Solanum lycopersicum: one gene and its partner. The protein of the gene in region 1 interacts with the protein of each later gene in a pairwise test. Links are inferred from orthologs where the notes say so. Each region holds a gene or a part of one and is shown in the gene's direction. Other genes may lie near its edges. The genes, in order: protein CHROMATIN REMODELING 25 and RAD51.

Region 1 (3,827 bases):
GGAAAATACCACTTGACAGTGGTTTAGTAGTCCATCACCACAGTTTGACTATAATATCCATATTTAGTCAATCCTAGGAGTGCCACTTCCTTTTTTGCAGATGTGCTAGCTTTCTTCTTCCCATTCTCTTAGTCGAGTATTCTTGTGTTTTCCTGAAGTAAGATACATGCCAGTTGCCACATTGATCTTCATCAATCTTATATACCGAGTGTTTTCCTCATTTCTGATGTTCTAAGGGGTCGTTTGTACAAAGATTAGTGATGCAGGGATCAGTAACACGGATTAGTAATGCAGGGATTAGTAATGCAAACTTTAATTTTACTAAGTGTTTGGTTCATTGTTTCTCATCTCCTCTTGTGTTTGGATTAAAACTTTATAAGAAAGTTTCTTTCCAATTATACACTTAAATTATTATGTAATTTGGTCAAGGTAAATAATTGCTGAACAATACTATTTTTTTATGCCTTCAAACTAGCTATGAGAAGAAAAAATTTGTTGACATGTTTGTCTTTTTTTCCATTTAAATTTTTTGAGAATACATAATTGTCATCTTAGTAAATTGATCACTTACAAAGTGTCATTTTTATTCAAAAAAGATAAGCTATCTACTTTTAAAATTGAAAAGACGGTAAACAATAATAAAGTTGAATAAATCATCTAAATTTACATATAAAAATTGAACTTATAGTTTTAATATGTATGCAATTTTATAAATTTTTCAAAATACAAATAATTAGAAACTACACACACATATATCGACAAATTGTGTGTGTGTGTGTGTGTATATATATATAAACAAATTGTACATTCAATTAAGATTACAAACGTCATGTGGTGATATATTTGCCTCTTTTAATGAGTTAATGTTAAACAACTCACATTTCAAATATTGTATTGATTTGTATTGGATTTATTTAGTGACAAACAACTCTGTTAATAATTTGTAAGCTAATTTATTTAAATGAATTTACTAGTACAAATATAAAACATAAAATCAATAAAATAATTAAAAGAATTTGAAGAATATTTTGTCTTTATACATACTTATCCCATACCTCCAAAAGAAGGTATTATAGTACATCCTATAATACCATGTAGGATGCATAACTAATCCCTAGTTATACATAGACACAAATTCCTACCAAACACATAGTATTATATAATACCATACATAATAATCTATTTCTTCTAATACTCCCAACCAAACAACCCCTAAGTTCCATATTGTTAACAGAACATGTGACTATCATCTCTCAGCTCTAGCTCCTTTAGTTACTCTGAGTCTAATATCTGCTGGTAAAACTTCAGCACCAGACAAACTTGTTTGTGACTGTAACTTTTATTTCAGAAGATAATGAAGGTTAACAGCCTGCTTTCAAGATGTGAACACTGTGATATAGAGTTACATATTTGCTTATAACATTCAATTTTCTAGTGTATAACTGAAATTCTCTCATTTGTTTCCTCTTCCTTAATTAATAAGTAACTGATTTCTCTCTGTTGTTTTCTCTTCCTTCTTTCTTTTGTGGTCTGTCCTAACTGTGAGTTGTGATTAATCAGACACTGGACCTTTTCTCTCAATTATGCCGTGAAAGGAGATATCCCTTCTTAAGACTTGATGGAACTACATCAATTAGTAAAAGACAGAAGCTAGTTAATCATTTCAATGATCCAGCAAAGGTACCTGGGGATTTTGTTACACTTGTTTATCTAACTAAGTTTTGGCATTACCAAGACTTATTTTGTGCATCTTTTAGGATGAGTTTGCATTTCTGTTGAGCAGCAAGGCTGGAGGTTGCGGTCTTAATTTGATTGGTGGGAACCGTTTGGTTTTATTTGATCCTGACTGGAATCCAGCCAATGACAAACAGGTGAAATCTTCGCCTGAGTATCACCAAATGATGCCGGAATATGTTGCATATCAAATATATAATTTCTAGATTTTCCAACTCTTCCTCAGGCTGCTGCAAGAGTCTGGAGAGATGGACAAAAGAAGAGGGTCTACATCTATAGGTTTTTGAGTACTGGAACTATTGAAGAAAAGGTTTGATTCCTAGAAGCCTTTGCTTAATGAGTTCCTATCTTCTCTAGTTGTTCGATTGAAGAAATTTATTTTTATTTGCAGGTTTACCAGCGTCAGATGTCAAAGGAAGGTCTTCAGAAAGTTATTCAGCAGGAACAAACAGATTCTGATATCCAGGTAATATTTTAGAGTCTCTAATTTTTTCTCATTCTTCTGCTCTAATTTGGTACTAATATGTGATTTCAGGGAAACTGTCTCTCAGCAGAAGACCTGCGGGACCTGTTCACATTTCATGATAGTAGGTATGTTCCATGCTAAATGGGATTAAGCTAATGCATTATGTGAAATCTCCTATACCTTCACATGGCTCAAGTATTTTTAGCAGTTATGGTGACTTTTGGAGATTCTGTAGTGTGGAAGTGCACCTCCCCCATTCCCTTTTCTTTTTTCACATCTGACATTTGAGTAGTGCTGGCAAATGAACAGGTCAGATCTAATATAGATGGAGCTGAAAACGGGTTAGATAAAAACGAATAATATTTCCAACTCACCCATATTTTATGTGGAAACTGGGTTGAATGACGAATAAGACAGATTTCCATATTATCTACACATATACAGGACTGAAACTTGCTAACATATTATATCAATCATCAATTGACTAGTTTGACATATGAACTATATAAACTCGAACAATTTGAGAAAGGTAACATTTGTATAATCTATATAAACTCAACGCCATAACTGGTACTGAATTTAGAACTTTCAATAATCAAATAGAGCAAAATCAAAGAGGAAAAAACTCCTAACAGATCTGTAATCTTTACACTTCTACCAATAAAATCTACTAAATCTCCTACTTGCCCCCATAAATACTGCTTATACCAAAAAAAGGAACAAACCAAGACAATTTCCTAATCTTTTAAATGGAATCACTAGTATTTTAAAGATGTTTTAGTTCCTCTACTATCCACCAAATACATGCTGTGATGATCTTGCACCAATGTTCCTCTCCATTTCTCTTTCCCACATTCATTAAATGATTCGAAAAGATCCATACTAGACCTAGGCATAGCCCAATTTATGCCCAAAATACAAAAGAACTTGTGCCACGGATTTATTGTCGTCTTACAATGTAAGAAAATATGCTCATTGCTTTTACCCTACTGACCACACATTAGACACCTTTAACAAATCTGAAGACCTCGTCTTTGTAGCTTTGCTTGAGATAAACATGATCACCTCGCCACTAACCAGACAAAACAAGATACCTTCAATGGAAGTTTTGTCCTCCTAATCAGTTTCCTAGGCCATACATCATTCGGGGGCCGCTTTCTTGTGGTAGTAATTGCGAACATCTCTCCTCTTCTCTTACCGTGCACAGTTTGCTTACATGCCGCCATAGGCACATCTCTCTCTGGGGCTATTATGATTCATGAACCAAAGCTGATTTTACTGAAATATTACCTTTGTTACTGAGTCTATCTTGTTGCCTGCGTTTCCACCCAAACTTCCTATAAGTTGAATCATGGTAATTAAATTTTCTACTTCCCGATCATTCATAGCTCCCCTAAAGATAAGGTTCCACCCTTATTGACTCCAAACTTGGTTTATCTGGTTGTGAGATTGAGCTTATATAGTAGAGATCAGGAAAAGTGAATTTCAAACTACTTTCACTAATCCAGTGGTCCTCCCAAAAAGCTGTTGTACTTCCATCTCCCACTGCAATCACCACATTTTCCCAAAATCATTCCATAGATTCCTAGTGCTCTTTTCATACACTGCATACATAAGTACTTGTCAA
Region 2 (4,528 bases), on another chromosome or scaffold:
ATTGCTTTGTTTTTGACTCTCTCTCTACTCTGCTATATCAACTCATTTCTTGTGCAATTTATAGCAATTCTCTGAAGAAGAAAATCACCATTTTCTCTCAATTTTTCCACTTTGTAGTTGATAATTTTGACAAAAAAAAATGGCAGGTCAAATGTATACCAACATTTGAAACATTTGACAAACTTTTTCATTTAACTTGTCTTATGCTTGTTTTTTATTTTGGTAGATATCATGCTACCTTATTTTCCAATTTTTATTTTCCATATTTGCTGGATAATTCCTTCATTTCTATCTTTCTCATTTGTTCTTCTTTCCATTTTTAGCTTGTGGGTTCTACACAAAAAAAAAAAGTCCAATTCTTTGTCATATTTGCTCAACTTCCATTCATCTCTTTCATAATTCTTTAATATTTCCATTTGTCTTAGATAATTTCTTGAAAATCAACACCTGTGTTTCTTTTGCCACATATCTACTTAGTTGATGTTTTTTTATTACATTGCAACATTTCCGCAAAGATTAAAAATATTAGTACTAAAATTAAATAATAACTTAGTATATATGATATTTTTCTCTTATCAATTAGAATGAATAAGTTTTTTATTCTTGTGTAACTTTCCACATTTCTTACATGTTGTTGGATTTGAGGCTGACTTGTCTTGATGGAAATAGATAAGTGTCATCACATTCGTTTAAAGAGGCAAAATTGAGCCTAAATTTAAAGGGGGTTCCAAGGAAATTGAGCCTAAACTAAAGGGGGCATGAACTGTAATTTATTTTGGGTGAATGGCTATTTGCTAAATTAGTTTGAGTTGGGCTATAAAATTGTAATTATTTTGAGTATTGTGGCCCATTTATGTAGTTTCTCCCTTTTTGAAAAAAATGGCATAACATAGCAACTTATAGATAAATTGGTAATAAATAAGTCAATTTTATTTATTTGGCCGAAAAAGGGTTTTTTGAATATTTATTTGGCATTAAACAATCATATTTATTTTTCTTGAAACGGGAAAGGCTAAAACATACCCCTAAACTATCGAAAATAACTCACATATACCCTTAAACTATATTCTGGCTCAAAAATATCCTTTCGTTAAAGTATTCAGTCATATTTATCTTTACTATTCACACCTCTGTTAATAGTAAGGGTAAATGTGACCCAATACTTTAAGTGGAGGGTAATTTTGAGCCAGAATATAATTTAAAGGTATATGTAATCCAATACTTTTCATGGGTATTTTTGAGCCTTTTACGTTCTTGAAAAGTGATTCTTTTCTAATTTTCTCTATATTTCTGGACACATTATTGCTTGTCAACTGTTTTTATCACCATCAAATTCATAACGGTTGCATACAAAAACATATTTTATGAAAATTATTTTCATTGACCAACCAAACATTAAAAAATGTTCTCCTTTCCAACTAACATGAGAAAATAAGTTAGAAATGCACTTATTTTCCAAGAAAACATTTTCAGAGAAAACTGTTTTTTTCATACCAAACACCTCCTAAGTATTATTTATTTATTAGTTTTATTTAAACAGCTTGTGAAGCACGATTTCATTTGCAGTATTTTTGGCGGCTCCTCACGCCTTTGAAATATTTCCTTTTGCCTCCATTCTTCCATTCTCAGTGAGCATCAAGAAAATTAGCAATGGAGCAGCAGCACAGGAATCAGAAGTCGATGCAAGACCAAAATGATGAAATCGAGGATGTTCAACACGGCCCTTTTCCAGTTGAACAACTTCAGGTTTCCCCCCTTTTCTTCTCTTAATTGAGGAGTTAATTCAATCCTTTTTATATATCAAGTGTCCTAAATCTTGGATTGGGGTAGTTGTTTTGGTGATAGTGATTGTTTATGATTTCAGATTCAGTGTAGCTGGGTCTGATCTTGAATCTTGAATTGTACTTCGTAGGTTAAATGTTGAATCTTGAAATGTGGTTCTGGGTTGAATCTTGAATGGTAAAAAACTGAATTTTGTGAAACAGCTTTTTTTCAAGGTTGAATCTCATCTGCCTCGCTTATGGGAAATGCTTTTTTTTGTTTTGGGGTTTTCTATACTGTCCCCTTTTTGGCTTCTTGGAATGGGTTCGCTATCATAGTGCTCTTGTGGATTATTTCAAGCTAATATTTTTACAGTTATATCTATCTGTCCTTTACTGCCTTAGTTTTGAAGCTAAATGTTGTAGAATGCTTTGTGAAATGGGTTCTCGAAGCGATACCACTGATCTTGAAAACCTGGATGAGTGTTTTTTTGGTATGATGTTTCGATGGAGTCATGGAGCCCTGCGACAAGCCTAAGTTTAGTATTTAAGTGGAGAATGGTAGAGGAGTGACCCATCATTCCTGAGTTCGAATGCTATTGTTGGCAATAAGGGTTGGCTCAAAACAAATTTCTAGGTCATCAATTAAAAAAAACGATGTTGCTACAATGGTTTTGCTGCCCGTAATTACAACCAGTTTTCATTAGAAATTTGTAGGTTACTATCAGAGTGTACAGAATTGAGGGCACCATGAAAAGCTGCTTCTAGAAAGGCACTTGACACAAAATGATTTACATCATGACGCATGATATGGAGGGTCCAATAGGTGGGCGTTGATGGTCAGATATTTTAGTGTGCATCTGGGTTATGCGGTTGGCTTATCAGCTTTGCTCCTTACAAGATTTTATCAGTTTAGATCTTTTTTTGAAGAATTTTAAGTCTCGAGTGATTAACATTTACAGTAACTCAGATAAGTACTTATCATAAGTTTCTCATACTGCAGATTTTAAAAAGATTTACACGAAGTGAAACCTAAACTCTTGAGGATTTTTTAATCTTACTGGTAGTACATAAAAGCTGGACTAGGCATTTCCTAGATTTTTTTCTTGGAATTGTTAATATTTAAGAGGCAATATCTTTGAGTATCTTTTTCCAGTCTAGCTTGTAGTATAGTTGTTTCTGTTGAATGACACCCTGTAATTCTTCCAACTTTTAAAGGAAATGGTCCATTAGTTACTGAGGCATATAGCTTTTTTGTCCTCAAGGCATCAGGGATTGCAGCTCTAGATGTAAAAAAACTCAAGGATGCTGGTCTATGTACAGTTGAATCTGTTGTTTATGCTCCAAGAAAGGAACTTCTGCAGATAAAAGGAATTAGTGAAGCTAAAGTTGACAAGATTATTGAGGCAGGCATGTCTCTCTTCATTTAACTGCCATTGCCAGTGCTGATGTTTTTTCCCCTTACCTTCTTTTTTCACCCATTTCTGCAATTTTTTATCAGCAATCGGTACTAAATCTTTTTAATGCTGCATATGAACAGCTTCAAAATTAGTGCCTTTGGGATTCACTAGTGCCAGCCAACTCCATGCACAGAGGCTTGAAATCATACAGATAACTTCTGGATCGAAAGAACTTGACAAGATATTAGAAGGTAGTTATTTATCTAATTTGTGAACTTCTAGAACCGGAATTTGACCTGGCATCACAACCTCATACTTTTTTTGTCACTTGTCAGGAGGAATCGAAACTGGATCTATTACTGAAATTTACGGAGAGTTCCGATGTGGAAAGACTCAGCTGTGTCACACACTATGCGTGACTTGTCAAGTACGATAACATAGACATTTTTTTAATTTTAAAATCCCATAATAAAGTGCACAAGATTCATTCAAATATCATTCTTTATCTGTTATTTCAGCTTCCATTAGATCAGGGAGGTGGTGAAGGGAAAGCAATGTACATTGATGCTGAGGGTACTTTCAGACCACAAAGACTTTTACAAATTGCAGACAGGTCTTCTACTAGTAACTCAACTCACATGTTTTTCTGGTATTATGAAGTTCAAACTGTTGTCATCAGTGGGGTTAAATGCTGCAGGTATGGATTGAATGGTCCTGATGTCCTGGAGAATGTAGCCTATGCTCGAGCTTATAATACCGATCATCAATCAAGACTTTTGCTTGAGGCAGCCTCAATGATGGTGGAGACCAGGTTAACTTTCTCCATATTCCACTGCTCATTTATGAAAAAAATTTCTCATGCTTCTCAGTGGCTGTGATACTTTGAGCAAGAAAATGTGCTTAGATTATATCTTTTAGAGAATATTCCAACTCTTGATTGAGTATGTTGAAGGGTTCTAGTTTGAAGCAGCTCTCAATTTGTTTGATTATGGATGTCCATCTTACATCTAATGCATGTTTGGATACATCTTGGATCTGTTTGAAGTGTGCTCTCACCTGTTTCAAACAAATAAATCTTTTTGAAGTGTTCTAGAATTCAAAAAAAAATTTGCTTCCTGAATATAGTGAAAATCTTGAATTTGTGGCTTCCTTAGTTATTTGGGTTCATCTCATCAAAGCATAAAAAAGATCTCTGATAGAAGCTTAACTTTGAAAACTGTTTTGATCAAGCAGGTTTGCTCTCATGATTGTGGACAGTGCTACTGCCCTTTATAGAACTGACTTCTCTGGGAGAGGAGAGTTGTCTGCCAGGCAGATGCATCTTGCAAAGTTTCTGAGAAGCCTTCAGAAGTTAGCAGATGAGGTATT

What was found.
Region 2: the proteins of protein CHROMATIN REMODELING 25 (region 1) and RAD51 interact in binary tests that used the Arabidopsis thaliana proteins (3 or more experiments, as listed by UniProt). The link is inferred for Solanum lycopersicum from reciprocal best matches to the Arabidopsis thaliana genes RAD54 and RAD51.

The regions. Positions count from the first base shown.
Region 1 is NC_090803.1:55,513,040-55,516,866, forward strand, and holds part of protein CHROMATIN REMODELING 25, read left to right. Parts: intron 1-1,560; coding exon 1,561-1,680; intron 1,681-1,757; coding exon 1,758-1,871; intron 1,872-1,960; coding exon 1,961-2,044; intron 2,045-2,125; coding exon 2,126-2,200; intron 2,201-2,269; coding exon 2,270-2,325; intron 2,326-3,827. UniProt on the Arabidopsis thaliana protein: Dissociates RAD51 from nucleoprotein filaments formed on dsDNA. Could be involved in the turnover of RAD51 protein-dsDNA filaments. Addition of RAD54 overcomes inhibition of DNA strand exchange by RAD51 bound to substrate dsDNA.
Region 2 is NC_090806.1:9,799,313-9,803,840, reverse strand, and holds the start of RAD51 (DNA repair protein RAD51 homolog), read left to right. Parts: upstream 1-1,562; 5' UTR 1,563-1,650; coding exon 1,651-1,746; intron 1,747-3,025; coding exon 3,026-3,170; intron 3,171-3,300; coding exon 3,301-3,411; intron 3,412-3,495; coding exon 3,496-3,587; intron 3,588-3,678; coding exon 3,679-3,773; intron 3,774-3,857; coding exon 3,858-3,971; intron 3,972-4,393; coding exon 4,394-4,523; intron 4,524-4,528. UniProt on the Arabidopsis thaliana protein: Binds to single and double-stranded DNA and exhibits DNA-dependent ATPase activity. Unwinds duplex DNA. Component of the meiotic recombination pathway.